Linked DNA regions of Macaca mulatta. The protein of the gene in region 1 interacts with the protein of each later gene in a pairwise test. Links are inferred from orthologs where the notes say so. Each region holds a gene or a part of one and is shown on either strand. Other genes may lie near its edges.

Region 1 (5,812 bases):
TACTTTTGTTGTAATTAGTTTAGAACATGGAAATTTGCAATGTATTTTTATTTTGAACATATTGTCTAAGTTGGAACTTTCCAAAATTTGTCAAGAATCAAAATAAAGAGAAACATCTTGTGAGTTTCAAATATCTCTTCTAATAATACATGCTCAAAAAATAGATAATGAGATAACTACATATGCACACACACATCACTCACTATGAAGATTCAGTAAATAAGTTAATGCATGTTCTTCTATACTCTCTGGTACATACAATAAAAAGTTTTCAACACAGAAAAAAATAAAATAAAATAAAATAAACATTTAGGGTTTTTTTAGTTTATATATCTTTGTATACTTGTCAAATAATTTCTTTAGGGTAAATTACTAGAAATGGAATTACTGGGTCAAAGGGTTTATGTATCTCAAGTCTTTTCCCAAATTGTGATACAGAAAGCTTATGTCAGTTTAGTGCTATGAGCAGTTGCATTACAACTGTACAAATGCTGGATATTACTAGGTATTACCAATCTTTTTATTCTGTGTCAACCTGATAGGCTATAAATTATCTCACTATTTTATTTTGCATTTCATTGATTTTGTGTATGGTGTGTTTACATGAATTTTCAAATTTTATGTCCAATTTATTCATCTTTCCCCTTAATAGTCTTCTGAATTTTGGGCCATTCTCAGCAAGGTCACCCCATCACAAAATTATTATTTTTCAATTAGCTATATTTTCTTTAGTACTTATGATTATATTAATTTATTTGTTTGCTTTTTACATTTTAAATAATTTAGCAATTCAGAATTTGGCTGCAAGATGTAAAATAGGGACCTAAATTTCATATATTAAAATGGTCCAGCTGGTTGTCCTAACACACTTTGAATAATTCATCATTTCTCCATTGATTTGAAACGCTACTTTTATTATATACTGAATTTCCATGTACACATGGGACTGTTTTAGGATAACTTTTTATGATGATTAGGTAGATCTGAAAACTCCCATTACAATATATTTTATTAAGTCCAGAAATGTGCTTAATTCTTAAACTTACAAATGAAAAAATAATCATATAAATGTTTGTGGCTAAATACGGTCATACTCAGAGATGTTATTTTATTTTTTCTGTTTTGGTTTTAGTGGAGAAAGTAGCAAATGAAAGCCAGAAGACCCCCAGGGATGTGGTTATGATGGAAAACTTTCACCATATTTTTGCAACTCTTTCTCGATTGAAAATCTCATGTCTAGAAGCAGAAAAAAAAGACGCCAAACAAAAATACACAGATCACCTTCAGTCTTATGTCATTTACTCTTTAGGACAACCTCTTGAAAAACTAAATGTAAATATATTTTCATTCAGTATTTTTCCTACTTTTGAACCTATACACATAAGTTTGCATATGAATAACCTGCAGACATTTATCTTAAATTTTCTCATGTGTTGGTGCAAAGGGGAGTCAGTTATTGAAGCTGCCAGTGAGCCAGACACTGCTAGATGCTATATATTTTATTTCTTCTTTCTGTACATTATTTTTATACATTATTTATCTATTATATTTTAATGATAATTTTGCTAATATTATTCTATTACATATGCATTATTTCTTTTAATTCTTATAAACAATGATGTGTAAGCTAAGATAATATTATCCCCATTTCACAAATGAAGAAACTGAAAGTAAAAAAAACTTGCCCAACATTATAATAGCTTATAAATTACAAGCTGGGGGATGAACCTAGATTAGGCTTTGCCATTATTCTTTCCCATTTCTTACTTTATAAATGACCAAGTTAGCAATGTCTAGGTGGAAATTTCAGAAATATTATCAAGATAAAAGAAAAACCAAAAATTGCTTTCTACATTGCCTTTTACTTTTCTTTCCCTTCTTTTTCTTTCCTTACTTGAGTCATTTCCCAGAGCAAGTCTGTTAATTAAAGTTAAGAAATGATGATTTTAGGGAACTTTACGACATAGTGAAAGCTTAAATGAACCTTTTTAACTAACTTTGTCTACAATATAATTAGTTATCTTTTATAAGTTCTTAACTTGAAGTTAGAGTAAAATAGCACAGTGACTCATACCTGCAATCCCAGCACTTTGGGAGGCCAAGGCAGGTAGATCACGAGGTCAGAAGATCGAGACCATCCTGGCTAACACAGTGAAACTCCGTCTCTACTAAAAATATTTTTAAAAAAGTAACCGGGCGTGGTGGCGTGCGCCTGTAGTCCCAGCTACTCAGGAGGCTGAGGCAGGAGAATCACTTGAACCTGGGAGGCAGTGATTACAGTAAGCCGAGATCACGCCGCTGCACTCCAGCCTGGGCTACAGAGCAAGACTCAGTCTCAAAAAAAAAGAATATGTATCTACTATCAGCAATTCAGAGAAATACTTGAAAGGCATTTAATCAAATGCAGAACTAATTCCTTATAAAACTTAAGAACAGACAAATATTCCTTTAATTGGATAAAAGATCTGTCTCAGGCCTAAAGCTTACATGATACTTAACTGCAACGTTAGAGACATTCCCTCTGAAATCAATGTAAAGCAGAAATATTGTTAGATCATTTATTATTTAGCATTGTTGTTGAAGTGCTAGCCAGTTCAACAAGACCTGAAACATAAACAGGAGATATGGAGAAGAGAGACAAGATTATCACTGCCTGTATATGATATGTTGAAATTACTGGTGTTGATTAAGTGACAGGATTCAAGGCAAATATACTGAAAAACAATGTATTTCCTGTCTACCAATTAAGAGCTTATGTAACAACAAAAGTTTTAAAGCACTAAGAATAACTTGTCAAAGAATGATAATTTAATGAATAAATAATCACTAAGAAAATTTTAGAAAAAAGTAATGAGAGGGAATGGGGTTTGTCAGTATTAATTCTTTGTATCGTGCTCAAATACAGGCATGCCAGTCAATAAAAGTATATATATATATAAAAAAGAAGACCTGGGAATAATATTTATAACAATATAACAGAGTCAGTATATTTAATATAAAAGATTTATTAAAATCAATAAGAAAAGCACTAAGACCTCAATTTATAAATGGGGCAAGGGGCCTGAATCACTACTAAATATATGAAAGCAGGTTAGCCTTATTTATAGGCAAAGAATTATAAAATAAAATGACAAACTTTCTTCACTCTGACAACCATTGTTTTAAATTGTCATAATGCTTATGGTAGTATAGTGAAGTAGCAACCTCATACACTGTTGACAGAAATATAAATTGATTGAGCTTTCCTGGCAAGGGGTTTGTATATATACTGAAGAATCTTTCAAATACTTAAAGTTACGCTCTTCAATAGAGTAATTATAGTTCTGGAAATTTAATCAGTAAGGTGGGTAAATACTTATATACAAAAAAAAATTATGACAAATATAGTAAATTTTCTAAAGTCCCACTAGATCTGGCAAGTCCAAAAAAAGACGGGGGAGTGGGATAAGTATCTAGTACTAGAGGAATGAATAATAATTGTGGTTTAGTCATAGTATGAAATATTATGCAGCCATTAAAATTTATATTCAGCAAAAAACAATATTAAATGTAGAATGTGACGTATGAAATATAATCTCATGTATGTATTCACACATCAAAAGATTAGAAGGAACTCTACAGTGTTACCAATGCTCGTCTCAGAAGTATGTGAATAAGGTGATTGTTATTTTATTGTTTATACTTTCACACACTGATTTTTGCATGGTGATTATACACTACTTTGTAAACAGATTTTTTAAAATGTAAGTAATAATAAAAACAGGTCTTAGCCATTGTTTCTTTTCATTTCCTTGAAGCATTTCTTTGACGGTGTTGAAGCTCGTGTGGCACAGGGCATAAGGGAGGAGGAAGTAAGTTACCAACTTGCATTTAACAAGCAAGAACTTCGTAAAGTCATTAAGGAGTACCCTGGAAAGGAAGTAAAAAAAGGTCTAGATAACCTCTACAAGAAGGTTGATAAACATTTATGTGAAGAAGAGAACTTACTTCAGGTATGCTGAGTTCTTTTGACCGTCTGGCTTGAGGATCCTTATATATATTGCTTTTCTTTAAATATTTTTCTAGAAATGCTATAGATCTAGAGCAGGACGTGAGTTCCATTAAAGTACAGACCAGATTAATGAATTGTGAGGAAGAAAGGAATACTACTTATATAAGAATATATGGCTATTTCTGCTTATTTCGTATTTCTACTTTATTATGGTGAAGCATTAAGTTTGTTTTTCTTTGGTTGGTTGGTTGGTTGGTTGGTTGGTTGGTTGAGTGCTTGGAATTAGAAATGGGTTCATAATCTGGCTCCAGATTAAGCTGCGTGACTTTGGGAAGTTACTTAACCTCTGTGAGCCTTAGTTCCCTTATTTCGAAAAGTGGAAGTGATACCTCTCTTGTATAGTAGCCACTGTATTGGGCAACATAGCAAGACCTTGTCTCTACTAAAAATTAAAACAATTAGCTGGGCATGGTGTCATGTGCCTGTAGTCCCAACTACTTGGGAAGCTGAGGCAGGAGGATCACTTGAGCCCAGGAGATTGAGGCTCCAGTGAACTATGATCATATCACTGCACTCCAGCCTAGGCAACAGAGTGAGGCCATGTCTCAAAAAAAAAAAAAAAAAACAAGAAAGAAAATGAGCTTAGAGGCTTAGAGAGTTGGAGTAATAGGACCAAGCTCCCATAACTAATGGGTAGTAGAGCTAAATTTAAAGACCAAATTAGGCCATTATTCTTTGTAAACCATATTGAAAGGCCCAGATATGAGTGAGAGTAATTCTGATTTCACCATCATGGAAGACTTCCTAAGGGATATTGCATTGTTTGTTTTAACCTCTGAAAGTCAGATGTATTTTAACAGGCAAAATGGGGATACAGGGAGTAGCATTCTAGAAAGAAATAATATGAGCTAAACGACGAAAAATAAAAAGCATAATACTGCTTAGGGAATAGTGATTGGTCTCAAGTTGACAGGAATTTAGGATTTATGAGATTTAGGGTTTACATGAAAAAACCTTGGAAGAATACATTCCCTCAGCTGTCAAATAGGGAAGATGATCATAATACCCACCCTCACCAGGTCATCGTGAGACTTAGTACTCTAATATATTCATAAAGTGCTTTGTACTGTGCTGATAAAGAGTGAGCTTCAATTAAGCCATTATGTCAATATGTGTATCACATTGTGTCTTGATAGTTGTCTACATATTAGTCTCCACTGTTACACTGTAAATCACATGATTGCAGATAATGGGTCTGACTCATTTTGCTGTCCTCCAAGGCATCAAGCAATGTTTTGCATCAACAATTTTAGATAAAGAAAATTTTAAATTTTATAGGAAATGAAATTAAAGCATTATATTTTATATAATCACTAGTCTTAGTTCTATACATAATTGTGCATATCCATATCTGTGTTGCATATTGGAGTGTATGAGATAATAGCTAAAATGTCATGAGTGCTTACTTGTGTCAAACACAGTTCTAAGCACTTTATGTACATTTCTTATTTAATTCTCACAGCATTATGAGGAAGGTCTTATTATTATCTTGGTTTATAGATGAGGAACTTGAGGCGTAGAGCAGTGATGTCATATACTGAAGGTCACAAATCTTGTTGGTAAAAGTAACTAGGATTCTGGTTCCAGAATGCATGTTCTTAGTTACTATACTACCCAGATTCTTAGAATATGCCTTGGCATTATTTCCGCATACTAGATTACATATTATTTCCATTCATAGCCTAATGAATTTTTTTTTAATAATAGGTTGTGTGGCACTCCATGCAAGATGAATTTATACGCCAGTATAAGCACTTTGAA
Region 2 (6,346 bases), on another chromosome or scaffold:
AGCATTGCTCCCAACTTCACCGCCTATCTCAAAAGGTATAAGAACTAAAGATAATCCCACCACCCTTTGCTGACTGTTTTCTAACTCCGCCCACCTGCATCCAGGTGAAATAAACAGCTTTGTTGCTCACACAAAGCCTGTTTGGTGGTCTCTTCACACGGAGGCACGGGATACAAAGTGCTGGGATTACAGGCCTGAGCCACGGCGCCTGGCCACCCCCAATCTTTAAGAATATTCTGGGCCGGGCGCGGTGGCTCAAGCCTGTAATCCCAGCACTTTGGGAGGCCGAGACGGGCGGATCACGAGGTCAGGAGATCGAGACTATCCTGGCTAATACGGTGAAACCCCGTCTCTACTAAAAAAAATACCAAAAAACTAGCCGGGCGAGGTGGCGGGCACCTGTCCCAGCTACTGGGGAGGCTGAGGCAGGAGAATGGCATAAACCCGGGAGGCGGAGCTTGCAGTGAGCTGAGATCCGGCCACTGCACTCCAGCCTGGGTGACAGAGCGAAACTCCCTCTCAAAAAAAAAAAAAAGAATATTCTGGCCAGGCACGGTGGCTCACGCCTGTAATCCCAGCACTTTGGAAGGCTGAGGCGGGCTGATCACCAGGTCAGGGATGAGACCATCCTGGCTAACACGGTGAAACCCCGTCTCTACTAAAATACAAAAATTTAGCTGGCCGTGGTGGTGGGCTACTGTAGTCCCAGCTACTGGGGAGGCTGAGGCAGGAGAATGGCGTCAACCCGGGAGGCGGAGCTTGCAGTGAGCCGAGACTGTGCCACTGCACTCCAGCCTGAGCGACAGAGCGAGACTCTGTCACACACACACACACACACACAAAATATTCTGTATATAGTTTTTTTTGTTTTGTTTCTGACAGACGCAAATGCACCCTTCTACTAATGATTAAAGACTTCTTCGTTTAATCCACCAATGAAATAATCTGACAATTTATGTAACAAATAAATTCCTATAAACATAAGCTCCCTTGCTCCTCTCCAGTGGCACAATCTCTGATTTGCTATCCTGGTTGCAACCTTCATTACTAAGTAAACGCTTATGTAAACCTTAATAATGAGATTCGAGCAATATGATTAAATATTGGTTTGAGTGCAAATTTTGAGGATGGCGACCTGATAGGCCACAGACTCCAAAAGATGGGGGTCAGTGCTTCGAAAGCGAGAAGTCTGAGGGTCGTTTATACAGGCAGGGTCTGGGAAGCTTAACAGGATGTCAACATTTTCCATAGAAGGTTAACGTATAGCAATTTAATTGGTTCTAGGCAGTGTTTCTTTTTGGGAAGGGTCTATTTAACATTCCACATTAAGGATGTAATAGTCAAGGGGTCATTTATCTTATTCAAGGCGTATTTTATCTCAGATGCCATCTGGTCTGAGCTGGGAACAAGAAAATAAGGGAGTTAATCTATAACAAAAGGTTGGCAATTAAGAGGTCGTGCTTCATGATCTGGTCTCCAAAGTCAACTTTCCTCAGGGACTTTCAGAAGCCCCAAATAGATTATCCACTGTCTTTCACACTTATTTGCCTCTAAGCTGTTGATTTTCTTTTTTTTAAGGGTTAACAGTCTCTTGGGTGCACTCTGACTCCCATGCGCTTTATAGAAAAAATTGGTCCTGAGGCCAGCAACAACAGTGGGTCTCAGGAACTTGTTAGAAATGCACATTTTCAGCCCCCACCCCAAACCTACTGAATCAGTAGTTTTGCTGGCGGTTCTCAATCTCTCTTTAACATGCCCTCTGGGTGCTGCGGATGCTGGTTAAAGGTAGAAGATCGCTGCGGGAGATTTCCGCGTCGGGCAGATGAAAGCGCTCTGCAAGCCCTGGTGCGATCCGCTGGCCAGTTCCGCGGCTTCTCGGGTGGCACTAGGACCGCGGCGGCGCGGCCCTCGTAGACACCGCCTCGGGCGTGAGGCGGAGCCTAGCTGTTCCTGGATCCTGGGCCTGGCTCCTCGACCCGCCCCTGGAGGCGGACCCCACTTGACTTAAACTCTGGGGCCCGGGAGGCCGCCGGCTTTACCCCTGCTTGCTGGGGTGGTCCTTTTCCCTTGTCGGTAAGTGTGAGGCGAGCACCCCGAGGTCCCTCCTTCGCCTTCCGGGGTGCGGGCGGGGCGGGGGCCGGGAGCCAGAGGCGCTCACGGCCGGGGCCGGCGCGCGGCGCGCGGCGCGGAGCGCTTTTGTTCTGCGGCGAGAACGCAGTCGCGGGCGGCCCCGGAACCCGGGCCTCGGGCCCCGCCGGCTCGCGCGTCCCGCAGTCCGCCGCCCGAAGCTGGGCTCCGCCGCCGCGCTCTCTTCTGCCCGCCGTACTGGGGACGGCCCTGGGCCTCCGCGGACGCCGAGCCTTGCACCGGAGGGCGGGCCTCGCTGGCTGTTTTCCCTCATTGCCTGGCGCTGCGCGATAGAGGTCGCGAGTGGCGAGGGCGAGGACGCGTTTTGTTGAACTGCGAGGCGCGGCTGGTGAGGCGGGTGGGTATGAGAGCTGCTTATGTTTTTAAGGCTTTGCTGTCACTGGAGTGGAAAAAAAAAATCTTTGTTTTCCTATTTCCCGAGCGTTCTCCTCCTCCCCTGCCCTCTTAAGTCGAAGCCTCCTGGAACGGAATTGCTGTACTGGCATCTGTCTCCAAGTGGTCCGCGAACGCAAAGCGCCGGCGATGCTTTCTGTTCCTCGGCAATAGTTCCTTGAGGCATTTTTAAATGCACAAACGCATACCCATCTTAGGTGTTCTCGAGGGACACGGATTCCCTAAGCAAACGTCCTTAGGGTCCTGAGTTTAGCAGCAAACTTTCGGGGAATAATTTCCGTGGAAACAATTTGTAGTACATCGAGTGCATAACCGTCTTAAGACAAGGATGTGTATGAGCTTGAGGCGCGTTTTCGTTTTGTGGGGGGGCCGGTGCATCTCAGTAGGCGGGCCGCAGAGCTTGTTTGGAGATTGTATTTTTCTGCTTAATGTGTTAGCTTTAATCATGTTTCATTCATTGTTAATGTGCATGTATGTTAAGGTTTTAGGTTTTTTTCCCCTCTGCAGTCGGATTTTTTTCTATTTAACATTAATCCAGTAAAGACAAGTCCAGAGATAAAGTGTTACTGTTTTGCAATGATACTACAATAGCCGACCTAGAGGAGCGCACGTAGATTCTGACTTAAGTGAATGGTGTTTTCAGGCCAGACCTAGTTTCTATTTCTGTTAGTTAGGACACTTAATAAGAATTCAGTAAAGTTAGCATGTTTTCTGTGCAGCCTTAAAAGAAAACAGTTTTGCACAGCAGTGTCATATCTAGTAAACACATTAGCATGTCCTCTTTTATTATAAAACGTTTCTTGTTGTCCCTAGGACCAAAGAAGTAAATACTGTATGGAGGGGGACTGATGTGTTTGGAGTGAAATGGGAACATACACAATAATTAAAGACTAAAGTTGTGCTTAACGGTAAGTATTATCACCTCTAAGAAACCCACCCTGATTTAACCAGGCAGTTATTCACATGTAACTATGGAGTAATTTACCTGTTACCGAATTAAAATTACTAGCTCAGTGAATCAACATTGGTTAAAAATTAAACTGTGGGACTCAATGGATTTGACAACAAAGCTTGAGAAGAAGCAATGTTGTCGGCATAGTACTGAAAAATCAGTTGTTAATCTTAGCAAAATGAGAAAGAGGTCTGTGGTAAGGTAATTGTAGTGGAAGTTACCTGGGCAGAGGTCTGCTTCTGTCTGTGCTGTGTTTCTTATGTGATTGTTTTTATTATATTTTATTACTGTTGGTGGCACATAGGGGAATGTGGCACAGAGCACCACTCTGAAGGATGCATCCTGTACAGCCAAAGTGGGCATGTCCAGGGCTTTCATCTGTAACCACAAAATGTCTTAGGAAGTCTCACCTAATGATAAAGATCATGGTCCCTGTAACCACACTGCTTTGGTTTAAATCTTAGCTGTAGCACTCAGCAGTATCTGTACAACCCTGGAAAAATAAACCTCTGCCTGTTTTCTCATCTATAAAATGGGGAAAAGTACTAATGTCATAGGATTGTTATGGTAGAGTTACAGGAGTTTCATGCATATCACAGTTAAACAGCTCTTGAAACATGGTGAGTGCCCAATAAATGTTAGCTATTGTCATGTTAGAGGAAATAGATTTTGTGGCCTGGGACATGTAATGCTGTCTTAGCAGAAATTCAGCTGGTTCATTTAAGCTCTAACTTCATGAGCTTTTTGTTGATTAAACCCATCACTGTAGATCCTCTTAGATTCTCTTTTTTGTAGGTCCTGTTTTGTTAGAAAGTATCCGTCACTACTGGTCCACATCTGGATTTACCTGCAGTGTTGTTTGAAATAAAAAATGCCTCCACTGAATTCCTAGGCAGGACAAACTTGCCCCAAAGCTTTGTTCTTCTACATTATCTCTGTGATTGTACAGGAATCTCTCTTCCCTCCTAGATTATCAGTGTCTTGGAGATAGTTGGAGCTCAAATGCTTAGGGAATTGATTTAATGTTGCTTAAAACTTACTTGTAGGCCAGGTGTGGTGGCTCATGTCTACAATGCCAGCACTTTAAGAGGCTGGAGCGGACAGATCACTTGAGGCCAGGAGTTCGAGACCAGCCCTGGACTCAAGTTGGCCAACATGGCGAAACCCTGTCTCTACTAATAATACAAAAATGAGTCAGGCGTGGTGGCACATGCCTGTAATCCTAGCTACTCGAGTGGCTGAACCTGGGAGGCAGAGGTTGCAGTGACCTGAGGTCACCCCATTGCACTGTGGGCCTGGGCAACAGAGCAAGACTCTTGTCTTTAAAAAAAAAAAAAAAAAAAAAAAGGTATTTATGAAGGTGAATTTCAAGAATCTAATCAGGCCTCCCTCCCTTCCCCATTAGAGGCACACTCTATTATGTAAAACAGACAGGGAGTGTATTCATTTTGAGATAAGTCCAGGAGAATAGTCGACTAACCCTGGCTATAGATATGCAAGTTAACATTCACTTTGGAAGGAGGTTATGAAGAAAGAATCTTGGACCTTGAGGAATTCTAAATGCTTTGTTGGGTGGCAACTATGCAACACTTATACTATTCCTAATACCTTAAGTGTACTTGTACGTGAAGAGCAAAGTTGGAGGCTGTTGAGGTAAATATCTCAAGTGAGATTGGAACTATACATTTTATGCTCCTGGTTTTCATGATCGCAAAAATTTAATGACAGTAACTTAGATTCTTTTGATGTGTCAAATTACAAGGTTTCATTTGTAAATAAAGTCTTGTGATTAAAATGACAAAGTGTATTAAAAGAAGTTGTATCGTCCAGTTAAGTTTCAAGAAACAGAAACCATAAGGAGATTATTATTTTCCAAGCCCCAGAGGAGAATTCATTAGATGACATACTTTTAAAGTTCATGGAGCAGGGCCGGGCGTGGTGGCTCACACCCGTAATCCCAGCACTTTGGGAAGCCAAGGTGGGCAGATCACCTGAGGTCAGGAGTTGGAGACCAGCCTGGCCAACATGGTGAAACCCCGTCTCTACTAAAAGTACAAAAAATTAGCTTGGTGTGATGGCACATGCCTGTAATCCCAGCTACCCGGGAGGCAGAGGTTGCAGTAAGCCAAGATCGCACCACTATACCCTAGCTCGGGTGACAGAGTGAGACTCTGTCTCAGAAAATAAAGTTCATGGGCCAGTCGTAGTGGCTCATGCCTGTAATCCCAGCACTTTGGGAGGCCAAGGCAGGTGGATCATGACGTCAGGAAATTGAGACCACCCCTGGCTAACAAGGTGAAATCCCAAAATTAGCTGGGTATGGTGGCATGTGCCTGTAGTCCCAGCTACTCAGGAGGCTGAGACAGGAGAATCACTTGAACCCAGGAGGGAGAGGTTGCAGTGAGCTGAGATCACACCACTGCACTCCAGCCTGGGCGACAGAGCGAGACTGTGTCTCAAAAAAAAAAAAAAAAAAAAAAAAAAGTTCATGGATCAGAACCTTTGGGTTTTGATAGATCCAGGATCTAAATCTGAAGGAAAGTTTTAAAGATTTGGGACACTGTATCTTTGAGCTCTGCTGTCCTCTGCCTTGGTTCTCAGGCAGACCATTTCTCCACTGGGCAGCCCTGACATCTCCAGATACATATGCAAGCAGCTTCAAGTTGTTCAGAGCATACCTTTTGTAACTATAGTTAGAGATAAAATTTATAAGCCATTGATTCACCCATTTACACACAGTGTACAGTTTCAGTGGTTTTTAGTATATTCAGATTTGTGTACCCATCACCACTATCAATTTAAGAACATTTTATTGACCCCCAAAATACCTCCATATTCAATAGTGGTAACTCC
Region 3 (6,049 bases), on another chromosome or scaffold:
CATAATCATCATCCAAAGCAAAAGGTCACAGAAATCATTCATCAGTTGTTTTTGTTGCTTAGTCAGAACCCAAATGTGCAGAACCGACAATGTCTTTTTTCTGTGGCTTAGGATGCCAGCCTATTACTAAATTTTAGATTTGCAAAGCAAGAGAACTATATCCATGGATGTGGAAGGGCTTCCCTAAGAACAAACCACCAAATAATTGATTAGCACTCATAAAATTGTATACCAGTTGATTCTCAGGTCAAACAAAATTAACTCAAAACCAGCTTAGCTGCAGATTTTAGTGGCAGATTTGATGGTAAGCAGAGAGGTCAATAATACATAAAGGATGACTGAACACCATAAATAAAAACAAGTATTTTTGCTTAAACCACATTCCAAATCAGGATTGTGGATCAGCATGTCAGCTTTCAAACTGATTAATTCATTTCAACTTGTTAGCGCAATTGTGCAGAGGTGAGCAGGGACTTAGCTTTAAGAAAGCAAAAGATTCATACTGCATTGCATCAAAATCCAGAAATGCAGAGCAATATTGAGAAAACTTACTTCTGAACGCTTCCCAAATACTATCTTGCTGCTACTTACCTTTCAACCTGCAAAATTCAGATGAGAGGTATTTAAGTTCCTTATTGTTACTATGACTCAAAACAGGAAATGGTTACAATGTGGCCCATTTTTATAAACCTCATTTAAATAAATAACTCATCTGATTTATAAAAAGGCCTGCCTTGGATTTATCACCTATAATCACTGGAAATTTCCAAGGTTTATATTTCTTATTTTGAGATATCAAGATACTGAATTTTTTTTTAAAAGGTCCAATTTAGAAAACAAAGACTGTACACAAATAAAACAAATAAAGAGAGCTGTTTATTTACTTATTTTTTTGAGACGGAGTCTTGCACTGTCCCTGGGCTGGAGTGCAATGGTGCAATCTCGGCTGATTGCAACCTCCACCTCCAAGGTTAAAGCGATTCTCCTGCCTCAGCTTCCCCAGTAGCTGGGATTACAGGGGCCCGCCACCACACCCGGCTAATGTATTTGTATTTTTAGTAGAGACGGGGTTTCACTATGCTGGCCAGGCTGGTCTCGAACTCCTGACCTCATCATCTGCCCGCCTTGGCCTCCCAAAGCACTGGGATTACAGGCATGAGCCACCACACCCTGCCGGACAGCTGTTTTTTAAACATGAAAAGGGAAGCTCTATTTTATTATAGAAATTGTGGTGGAAGAAGTCAATGGAACAGGAAACAAGCCCAAGTTTACAGTATTTGTCAAATTTTAAAAACAATTTTTACTATGTATTTTTCAGATTATTTTTTCCAAATATCTAGGATAATCTGTTTTGCCCCTTGGTTCTTAAAAACCAAGTAGCCACCAATAAAAAGTCAGCAAACACTACATGCAAACACCATAATGGTGATAAGAAATTAATATATTCATGCCTTAAAGAGAGAGAGGTTAAAGAAAAAAAAAAAAAAGGGAAGGCTTTGAAAATTTTCAAGTAAATTTACTAATACTTCTGATAATTTAACACCAAAAAAACCCCAAACAAATCCTAAACAATTTGTTTAACAGAAACATCATGCAGGCAGGGTTTTTTTCCCCCTTTCTTTGGTTCATTCAACCTCTTTGACACAAATATGCCTTCACTGCAAGCCAGGCAAAACCAAAAAGGCAACCCGTTTTCTGCATGCTGGTCAAATACCTGTACTCTGCGTTTACGAAACGATGACAACATGATGGAGGAATGTGGAGTCTAAAGAGGGAGGGGGAAGAGCAAGATAAGCTTCTAAGGGCAAATGGAACAAAATTATGAAGAAAACAGATATTTAAAAACATACGAATACAGATTAAAAATCCAACTTCAGATATTTTCTCAGTGTCTTCTCTCTGACATTCTGTATAGCGTCTAAATCCCACAAGGGATTTAAAATGTGGAAAGAAAACCAAGGTTCCCAGGTCTTGGCAGTTACTATCTGGATATGCTGCACTGGTCAAGTCTCACTCTCTTTTGGGTCTCAATTTCCCCACTTGTCAAAGTAATAATACTGAATATACTTTTTCAAACTAAACACGCCCTCCTCCTGAGGATCCCAGGACAAGATGATTCCTAAATCCCCTTCCATTCAGCAATAAAAGAGCACGACTGCATGAAATTATCACAAAGTAGAACTCAAGCCACAAAGATCTGACTTGGGCCTAGCTTGCCAGTACACTTACTTCACAAAATACTATTTCCTGTTCAAAATTGGTACAAGAGGAATATGCAAAAAAGGTGGAAGAGAGGTGATGGTTCACAGCACAGCTGCTCCAGTCAAGTGGCCCCAAGTGATGAACTATGCGGTCCTCCTCCTCCTCCGCATTCCTGGAGTCAGCATTTGCCACTAGGGCGTTGCATTCTACAGTACAGCCGCAGCTGATAATGCTGCAACAGACCTGAGTGCCTAACTAGCGGGATCCTTGCATAGCCCACGGAGGACTGATTACAAAGGCAGGCCAGCCTTGAACACATTATCCATTCTTAGTGTAGATTCCGCAGTGACAGGACATGGGGGACTATTCCTGAGATCCACTTTTCAGGATGTGCAGTTGACCCCCCACTTTGGATGAAGGCAGGTAAGAAAAAAGCAGAAAAAACTTTAACCCAGGGAACCAAAAGACATACTTAAAACGGCTCTCCCCATGTCCACCTCTTCATCAGATTGCTTGACAGGCTTACACTGTAGCCTATGACATATCCAATTTCTCCAATTATTAGATGGCTACAAAATACACTGCCAAGACCAAAGCGTATCAGAGAATCAGTTACTAGGCTGATGGTTTGCCATAAGAACTGCTTCACACTTGTCCAGGATGAAGCAAATCCTCCTTTCCAGTTTCTCCATCTAGGTCCCTGGATACCAGTTAACACACTTTGAGGCTCCCTTTGAGTAATTATTGGCCCAGTTACTGAAAAAGGTTTATTGCTAATTTCCTGCACAGAGGCCCTTACTGCAGCACTTCTTTCTCCCCGTAGCACATATTAAACTTTGACTTCAATTTGACCTTTCAAAATCTAAGACATTAGCTAGCTGCAATGAAAGGGAAAATAAATGACTAGTTAAGGAGTCGGAACCTTGGCTCAATGGCTTCATATAGCTGAGTGTTCCTGCTGCTATTCCCCAGATTTTCTGTTTCCTGGCTCCAAGACACCCCCACCCTTCCATCTTTGATACATTCTGTTTTACTTAAGGCCAATTGCTATGACGACGCAATTTCTCAACACATTATGAAAATACTTCTGTTATTCCCGAACAGCCATGATGGTTAAGTTTTTCTAAAATACCATGATGAAGACAGAACAAAGGGCTTAAATATTTTAGGATCTATTATATAAAAGAGATCTGATTAGATGTTGTAACAGTTCAATCATCATCTCAACCCAGCCTTCTGAGCTATTCAGGCTTTTCATTTAAAACATATTCAACTCTTAACTTTAACAAGGCGCTTGTTTAAAATATATTTTACTCCAGTACATGAAAGAGACTTTTTAAAGCGATGTTCTATGGGAAGCGTCTAATCAAATTCTCAGGGATAGCTTTCAAACAAAAGACTGTTCTATCATTCAACACTGGTATGGTAGAATTTTGGACACTGTATCTCGACTCGAAAGACCCAGTTCCAGGAAACACACACGCACACACACACACACACACACACGAACTCCAAGCTATTAAGTTATTTGATTTGACCCTCATACCATACAAGCACCGCATCTACCTATTATTTACAAGCAAATCACAACTGGGAAGAAAGAAAAATGTTTATTACAAGGAAAGAAAAGGAGACGGCCAGTCTCAGACCCTTCTGCGTTCAAAGAGACGGCAGAGATTCGCCAGGCAGGATGAAATTAAGGTCAGAGAGCCGTTTACGCTACGCTCGGGCTCCCCGAGCTCTTCCTCCCTCCACGGCTGGCCGGCATTGCTGGTGCCATTCGGAAGAACGAGCTGCAGAAGTCGCTCCCGGCCGAGGGAAGGGACCGGGGGCGGTGCGGGGAGCGTTCTGCAGGGAGGCGGCTGGCGAAGATCCCGACGAGGGAGCCCCCACCCACCTGCCGCAGCCGGATGGGGCAGGGCAGGGCCGCGCCGCAGCCAGGCTTGGGGGTGGAGGGGAGGGACCCGGCGGCCTCGCGCCCCCTCCCCCCAGTCAGTGACATTCCAGCGGCGGCGCCGAACGTCCGCCCGGCTGCTCCTCCGCAGCCCACGCGCCACAAAAGAGGCGGCAGAGGCTCCCCCGGCACCTCAGCCGAATGGAGGCAGCGCCGCGGCCCGCCCGACTCACCTGTCCGCGCGCCGGCCCCGCCCCGCCTTAAGGGCTGCCCAGCTCCCGCCCGGGGGTCGGCTGCCCGGGGCCCCGCTCCCTCCCGGAGCTCCCCGACTGCCCCTCTCACCGGCTCTCGTGGGGTGAGGGGCGTGGGTGCGTCGGGCCGAGGGGGTGCTGCAGGACCGAGGAGCCTCCGCGGCCTCCGCTCCGCGCCGTTCACTCCGCAGCGGGTAGTGGCGGCGACGCGCGCGCCCAGCCTTTTTTATAGGCAGCTACGCGCGCTCCCGCGGCGGGCGGGCGCGAGCGCAAGGGGAAGCGCCCCGGCGCTGCGCGGGGGGCGGGGGAGCGCGCCGGCGGAGCAAAGGGGGCGGTGCTCCCGCCGGCTCACCGCCCGGCCGCCCGGCGGAAAGGGCCGAGCGATCCCGGAAGGAGCCGAAGCGGCGATGCGGGGGAAGAGGTGAGCGAGGGGCGGGCCGCGGGAGGATGGGGAAATGGGGCGCGCGCAAGGGGTGAGGGGTGATGGTGCAGTGAGGTCACTGACTACGCCCTGGCCGACAGAGACGCTCCCGCCTCACCTCCCTCCGCGCAACTTGCGCCCCGCCACCGCCCGCCCTGCGGACAGTCGTCTGCACTGCACCCCTCCGCCCTGGGAGCTCTTCCAGGACTGCGGAGAAGGGCGGGGCAGGGGGTATCGCTGCAGTCTGGCTGGGATGCTGCGCGCCCCGGGCGGAAAAACGCCCAGTCCCAAAGGGTGAGATCACCCGAGTGCGTCTCTTCTTCCTGCTCACTTTCCCGAGGAGGAGGCTGGCGCTGGGGACCCTAGTCACCCTACTTCGGTGGGGGCTGGGGTCAAGAAGACGCAGATGATTTGGGGCCCCGGGTTTGAAGAGGCGGTGAGAGGAAAAGGCCAAATCTGAATCAGAAAAAAAATTAAGTCGACTAATTTGCGGCATAAAGCTGTTATTCTGGAATTTGGAGAGTTAATTTCTTACATTCTTGGATATTATGGGGGAGGGAAACGGCAGCGGCAAAATAATAATTTCTTATATTCCTGCAGCAAAAGCATTCTCACAGGTCGCCAGTAGAATAGGGCATATTCATCCTATTTCATAAACAAGACATTAAGGTTGCAAATGGAAGGTTCTGACTGCTGAGATGGAAATCCTAGCCCTTCAATTGCTAGCTGCCTGACCTGGGCCAAGAGACATAGCCTACATGAGCATTATGTAAGAGTGCCCATTTGTAAAATAGGAAAATATCTCATCAAATTATTGCAAAGATTAAGAAATGAAAAGGTAACACGAAATACTTCGCATAGTGCCTAGTACACAAGGAAAGTTCAATTAATTGTGCCAGAAAGAACCTTAATGAATAGGAAAGGGAGGCATTTTGATGCGGGTGGCTGCTGGGGTGCAGACAGAGAAAAATAAGATTCTCAGAATTTCTGATCCTTAAAGTCCTAGCAGTTTGAGGGCCTGGCTCTCAACTCTGTAGCCAGAAGCCCTGGATTAGGAAGCGCTTTCCCTATCCCCATTCCGGTGACAGCTGGGCCGCAGCCATCGGGAGTAACACCCAGATCATTCCTGTGCAGTCAGGCAGAAGGGAAGCTCTGCAGCTCAGGAAGGCTTCAGCCTCCTGGTTACTAAGCAGCTCTCCTCTTTAAATAAATACAAAGTCATTGGGCACTGCACCAGAACCTGGGCCCAGACCTGGCCCTGAGCTTCCTGGTCCTCTGCAG
Region 4 (6,462 bases), on another chromosome or scaffold:
GTCTCAAAAAAAAAAAAAGAACAAATAGATGGTTATTTCACTAAATCATGAGTATGAGAAACAAATTTGAAGAGACAGGGAAGAATATAGTTTTGGACATATGAGTTTAATTACCTGCTAAATTATCAGATGGAAATATGTGGTAAATGGATGGAAACAAGGTGCATAAACTTAGGAGGCAGAAATTTTTAAACTTTAGGTTTAGACATTTACCAGAGTGGACAATGTTTAACATTTAAAATAAAACTTTTTGCCACAAAAAACAAATGTATTAAAACTAGTTTCCAGAACTGCCCAAATGACATTTTAAACATGATTTAAATGTCAAGTTTTCTTTGGCAAGTCTATCCAAAATACTAATTTTCCTTTTAGAAGTTAGTTTATAATTTATATATTAGAGTGCCCTTAATTGATGTTCATCGGGATACATTCCTCTGAGCCCTAATGGTTTTGGGAAGCCTAGGCGGGTGGATCACCTGAGGCCAGAGTTCGAGACCAGCCTGGCCAACATGGTGAAACCCAGTCTCTACTAAAAATGCAAAAATTAGCCCGGCGTGGTAGCAGGTGCCTGTAATCTCAGCTACTCTGGAGGCTGAGGCAGGAGAACTGCTAGAACCTGGGACGTGGAGGTTGCAGTGAGTTGAGATCACGCCATCGCACTCCAGCCTGGGTGACAAGAGCGAGACTCAGTCTCCAAAAAAAAAAAAAAAGTGTCTAAATATCTTTTAATTAAGTTGTCATTCTCAAAGATATTCTGGAGCAAAAATCAGGAATTAAACATCTATAAATTCTTCTTCACTTCTGTTATAGTGCAGCAATTTATCATCTAACCCATAGTGGTCTATCAATTGAGTAAGGCTCAGTTTCTTGTTCTCTTCAGACACAGCTGACTGCAACTCATAAAGCAACAGCTGGCTACAACTTCTCCACTTCTTTATTAACAACTGTAACTGAGACAGATCATTCTGAAACAGAAAAAAAAAAAAACCATGTATGTATGTCAATAACTAGTCATGCTAGTTCAACTTAATTAAAGTTGTTAAATTAGTGGATGTGCAGGTTTAAAGGCTAACATACACTGGGATGAATGGGACTTCTATCTAGGAAAAAGTAGGATGGTCATATGTAGAATGGTTACAATGTCATTCAACTTGAGTTCAATGGCTATTTTGTTGGCTCACGCTCTGGACCATCCTTATGATAAGGGAAAAATCAAATCATTAAATTGGGCCAAAACTATGTCAAGAAGCAGTAATACAGGGAAAAATCTACTCTATTACAACTGTACCTTTTTAAAAATGACACTATACTGTACTTTGCACTAAATTTTGCTATGAACCTAAAACTGCTCTTTAAAATTACAAAATTCTAGTTAAAAATATTTTTTTAGGCTAGGCATGGTGGCTCACACCTGTGATCCCAGTACTTTGGAAGGCCAAGGTGGGAAGACTGCTTGAGCCTAGGAGTTCAAGACTAGACTGTGCAAAATAACAAGACTATCTCTACAAAAAAATAATTTAAAAAAATTAGCCAGGTGTGATGGCACATGCCTGTAGTCCCAGTTACTAGGGAGGCTGAGGTGGGAGGATCACTTGAGCCCAGGAGTTCAAGGCTGCAATAAGTTAGGACTGTACCACTGTACTCCAGGCTGGGTAACAGAGACCATGTCTCTAAAAAGAGAATGAATAAATAAAATACACTTTTTACTCCTAAATTTTAAAATACATTCAATACTCCTAAATTTTATTTTTAAAAAACCCTAAAATTTCACGAGAACAAATGAGATATGCTATCTCATCATTTATTCCACATAGTTGGGGGAAAATGAGCTATTGCATATATATGAATTTTCCAGGTAATAAAGGTTATCTCCTTCCATGTACTCAAGTTCTATTTAATTCAACCTATATGAGTTGAAATCTAAAATCTAATATATATTTGTTTTTTTCTCAAATAATATGGCTGAATCACATTAATTATTTGGGGGAGACACAAGATCATAAATAAAATACCTTTTATTGTACTCTACAGCCCATTTTTAGTTTTACTAATTGACTGTCAGCTTTCACTTCTGTTCCCGTCGTACTTGCATCTAACATTTAATACTTCTAATATTGCTGTGGGCTAGAAACTAGAAAGAAAAGTTTAACTGCATATTAAATAAGAGCTGAGATTCTTAAAAAGTTTTACCTGGTGTTTAAGGGCCTTTTCTACTCTAAATCTGGAGTTGAATTAAAGTTGTTGGAAGCCAGGTTTCTGAATATTTGGCTTATTGCTTATTATGATAAAAAAACAAACACACACCTTATTTTCTATTTTTGAAATTACTTTCCTGCAATTTATGTAAAAATAAAAATGATACAATGGTCCCGAAATTCTTCTCACCTTTGATCTATACATTTTGACTAGTTTTAGCCTCCGAAGAAGGTCTTCTTTCTCCTGAACCTGCTTCACCAATTTGGCTTTTTCATCGTTTAATCTTTGTTTAGGAAGATTCTCATTCATGAACTCATTTTGGAGAGCACTGCATGATCCAGAATGAAGTGACTGAGATTCACAGACACTGAGATTCTTCAAAGTATTTTTCAAATTTGTATTTTCTTCAAATTCACTATCTATGTGTTTAAAACTTTCTTGAAATTCCAAACAGTTTTCCTCTGTGGAAGATGCTGGTTTGTCTGAAAAGGTCTGATCATTTTCTTCACTCTCTACTTTAAGACGTTTCACCACATTGTAACAGGAATTAAATGAAGATCTTGTTTTCCTTAATCTTTCTCTAAGTGTTGCACTCATAGGCTATAAAGAGCATAAAACATTAAAAATGTGAATCAAGAAAAACATTCTTGATGTCAATAAATCACCAGAAATAAAGGCCTTACATTTCTGTGCTAGACACCACTAGATGGCTTTCTGTCTCCACATCTAAAGAAGGCATCACAAAATGTCTTTAATTTCTGGAAGCTCCATTTGTTCTATTTCCTTTTTACTTCAGCAAGATCAACACCTTTCTAAAAGTGTTGAAAGGTTTATCCCAGTAATCAAGGAACATTTGTTCAGTAACAAGCACATGCCTGACGGTACTCCAGGTGCTTCAGAATTACAGAGTAAGGAAAAGACCTAGACCCTGCCACTAAAGACCTTCACAATATTGCACAGATTCTAACTTTCTCCATTAATCTGAAACTAACTGAAATGAATTGATTCAAGAGGAAAATATGGAAAGGGGCTGGTGGGTGTCATATATGTGACCTTAGAAGAAAAACATAAAATTGTTTAATAAAATGTCTACTTATTTATGCTACACATTATGTTAATTAACAACCTTCAGTAGAATTTAAACCACCACTGCCACAATACTTAGAAACACACAATGGATCCACTGGAAGGACAAAGATTTTCATACTTGTTTTCGTGAACTATTTGTATAGGGAGATGATGGATTCGCAGAGGCCTGAGGAGTGCTAGGTAAAACCACAGCTGAGTCTGACGAACTTTCCATCTTGAAAGTGAAATCTTGGTTTTTCTCTAAAAAAGAAAAATTATTAAATGAGAATCAAATTAGCCACACCTCTCCATAGTCGATTTTTATCAAAGAATATATTTTATTGGTGTACAAAGCATCCACAAGTAAGCCAGATATTTCTTCTAATTTCACTTTGTAATTCATTATTGCTCTTTTTGCAGTTTTCCATTTACCTTCCCACAAAGGGACCACTAAGATTTTCATGACACATCAACCAGCTAGTATCTCATAGTCACAACTCTCCTTGTTTTCTTTTCATCCACCAAAATATATTCAAATTCTGCCTTGGAAGAAGGGAATAACAGCTTTAATCAGGAATTCTTTATGATGACAGCTTCATAATTCAAGAAGATATAGCCGAAACTTTGACTCAAAAACAATAGGACCTGAATGTCACCCATCCTGAACTCTACAAGCTGTGACTAGAACCCGTTACCCTGCCGGCCCGAGGCATAAGAAACACAGCGGAGATGCATTTACGCCCTTTTAGTTTAAGCAGCGAATAGGCACTGAAAAGGAGAGTGGACTGAAATTGCTTTCTCCGACAAAGGCATCAACTTTTGAGAGGCAAACCAGGGGCGGGAGTAGTCCCCTCCTTCCCCCCATTGCAGAAAGCCCACTAGATCCCCGAAGACCCCATGGATGAGGTGAGGTTGAGTTCCCCAGACCCGGAAAAGGAGCTCAACTCGACTCCACAGCACACTCCCGGGGAAGCCCAGGTCTCAGGTAACCCCCTTCCCCTCAGCTGAGTACCTCCCTCCGCCATTCCCAGCGAGAGCAAAAAGCGCGCGCAGCTGCGGCCGTAAATCGATCCTGTGGCAGGGGCGGGGCCGTGCGGCTGGCGTAGAAGACGCGCAATTGGCCAGACTGACTAACGCGCGAGACGCCGCTTCACTCAGCGACTCAGAGCGGCGGGACTGCGCGCGCGCCTCCGCCAGCCGGCGGTTGGGGCGGGGCTTGGCCACACGATAGGCGGCCTAAACGCGTGATTGGCAGAATTAACCGGTGCGCGCGGCTCTCCCTGCCCAGCGCCCGAGGGCAGCGGGAGTGCGCGCGCGCGGCTGTGATCCGCAGCAGGTCTTCGGGGCGGGGGAAGCTGAGCTTTGGAACGACCAACCGATCCTGAGGGGGGCGCGCTTCCGTTGGCGGCTTCTCTTGTCTTATTTTCAACCGCCTTCCCTTCAGGCTTCCTTGTTTTTGTGCGTCTGTGAAGTGCGCCTGAAAGTGCCTCCCCCTGCCTCCGCCAGCCCGCCGCCTCCATTCTCTGGCTCCAGTCAGTCTCCTCTCCCCGCTCGTCACAGAAAAGGCTTTCCTCAGATGTGGCGCGGCCAGAAGCCGCACGGCTGGCTGCATGTTAGATTTACAGCTTGTGGACTCCCCAGAGGCAGAGACCACAAGAACAGCGTTGGGTTCCAGCCTGTTGAGAATGAAACATGTTAGAAATCTATCCGAGAGTCCTGGCACTTTAGCTGAGCTCATCGCTAGCTTTTTTGGCTGCCGCAAACTCGGCGGTCCCGTCGCTAGGTTTTTTTTTTTTTTTTTTTTGTAAACAACCGTTTCTGTACCTCAGTATTCAGGCTTCTTAGCGTGACCTCAAATCTTTTACTCAAATCTGAGGGAAAATGTAGCCCAAGGAAGTTTGTTGTGGCGCAACACAGGAAACAGAACAATCATTACATGAGATTGTGTCGGTGCAAAATTCAGATGTTTGAGACCGATAGGGCCTTTGCCGGCCACCGGGCAGCAGCATCCCCAGTCGAGAAAATCCACCCCCCCGACCCCCCGCCACGCTTCCAGTGTGGCGAGGTTCTGTTGCTACGCGACGACAAAGTTAGCTACACTGGGTGGAGCACTGGGTTTAGGGAAAGAGTTGTGTAACTTCTGAGTCGCGTGGAAGTTGGGAATTTCCAGGGGCTAGTGTTTTCAGTCCTCTTATTGAATGGCCGTTTTAAACATTGATATCGTCTCTTTACTATTAATAACATCTGACAGTAATGGCTTAGAAGTGGCCAGAAGGGAGTTACCTGAGCCTTAAGCAGTCAGGTATAATAATTACAGAACCTGAGGACTACTTAAGGGAATGATTAGGGGCACAGACGTTAGAGTCAAATTGTCTAGGTTCAAATCCTGGCACCCTACTTTATGTTGTGCCTCAGTTTCTTCATCTCTTAATATGGGATTGGAGAATTAAATGAGAACTGGTAAGAGGCAGCTAGAACAGAGCTAGGTATCTAGGAAGCAGTAGTTATTTTATATATTCAAGTGTATTCACCATTCCCTAACTGATTTAAAGGAATGTATCACCTTCACTTACCTTTCACCCCTTGATTTAGCTCCCATTCCCCGAAAAAGCACATATATTTTTAAAAGATGCTGTTATCTGTAAGATCCCACACAATGTAAACTATAAATGGCAGAAAATGCAGAGCTTCACATATGATTAGTAATACATATTTCACTCCTAAAAATTTTTTAAATTACATAAGTTAACCCCAAGGAATTTACAAAGTGGAAGACAGAACTCATGATTTTGTGATAAAGGTGTTACTCATCTCACCAAGCTGCAGGTCTCAGTCTGTACATTTATTTCTCCCTTTACTCATTCATTGGCATCAGTTAATCTCAAAGAAAAAGCATAATGATTTGTCCTGACAGTAGAAGCACAATGCAGACTCTGCATATTCTTTATACCTCCTGGCATAAGGGGGAGATGTTTTTATGACTGGCTAAAATCAGCTGCTCCCAAATCCTTTTACCTTTACAACCTAAGCTTAGAGCTGTGTTTTTCCTGGCTGCAGAAAGGAAAACAACATCTTGCCTTGCAAATGTTCTGACTTGCTTATTATGTGAACTGGTATCTTAAAATGGAATTATCTGGCCAGATTTTCAAAGAACTTCAGAACAAATACTCAGAAAAACCTGTATTTCAGAAATGTGCA

The links.
Region 2: the proteins of EXOC1 (region 1) and RESF1 interact in a two-hybrid assay, tested with the Homo sapiens proteins (2 studies listed by BioGRID and IntAct). The link is inferred for Macaca mulatta from reciprocal best matches to the Homo sapiens genes EXOC1 and RESF1.
Region 3: the proteins of EXOC1 (region 1) and SPTAN1 interact in a two-hybrid assay, tested with the Homo sapiens proteins (2 studies listed by BioGRID and IntAct). The link is inferred for Macaca mulatta from reciprocal best matches to the Homo sapiens genes EXOC1 and SPTAN1.
Region 4: the proteins of EXOC1 (region 1) and SFR1 interact in a two-hybrid assay, tested with the Homo sapiens proteins (2 studies listed by BioGRID and IntAct). The link is inferred for Macaca mulatta from reciprocal best matches to the Homo sapiens genes EXOC1 and SFR1.

What each region holds. Positions count from the first base shown.
Region 1 is NC_133410.1:77,569,220-77,575,031, reverse strand, and holds part of EXOC1 (exocyst complex component 1), read left to right. Parts: intron 1-1,132; coding exon 1,133-1,332; intron 1,333-3,797; coding exon 3,798-3,992; intron 3,993-5,758; coding exon 5,759-5,812.
Region 2 is NC_133416.1:34,169,652-34,175,997, forward strand, and holds the start of RESF1 (retroelement silencing factor 1), read left to right. Parts: upstream 1-1,997; 5' UTR 1,998-2,035; coding exon of another isoform or gene 2,036-2,401; 5' UTR 2,402-2,485; intron 2,486-3,354; 5' UTR 3,355-3,449; intron 3,450-6,346. Other genes in the region: uncharacterized protein LOC144332817, read right to left, coding at 2,036-2,401. UniProt on the Homo sapiens protein: Plays a role in the regulation of imprinted gene expression, regulates repressive epigenetic modifications associated with SETDB1.
Region 3 is NC_133420.1:19,114,709-19,120,757, forward strand, and holds the start of SPTAN1 (spectrin alpha chain, non-erythrocytic 1), read right to left. Parts: upstream 3,942-6,049; 5' UTR 3,820-3,941; intron 2,414-3,819; coding exon of another isoform or gene 2,348-2,413; intron 1,766-2,347; 5' UTR 1,748-1,765; coding exon 1,715-1,747; intron 1-1,714. Other genes in the region: uncharacterized protein LOC114672723, read left to right, coding at 2,348-2,413, 3,942-4,768. UniProt on the Homo sapiens protein: Fodrin, which seems to be involved in secretion, interacts with calmodulin in a calcium-dependent manner and is thus candidate for the calcium-dependent movement of the cytoskeleton at the membrane.
Region 4 is NC_133414.1:116,279,986-116,286,447, reverse strand, and holds SFR1 (swi5-dependent recombination DNA repair protein 1 homolog), read right to left. Parts: upstream 4,350-6,462; 5' UTR 4,290-4,349; coding exon 4,277-4,289; exon of another isoform or gene 4,192-4,276; intron 3,526-4,191; coding exon 3,404-3,525; intron 2,797-3,403; coding exon 2,386-2,796; intron 966-2,385; coding exon 774-965; 3' UTR 88-773; downstream 1-87. UniProt on the Homo sapiens protein: Component of the SWI5-SFR1 complex, a complex required for double-strand break repair via homologous recombination. Acts as a transcriptional modulator for ESR1.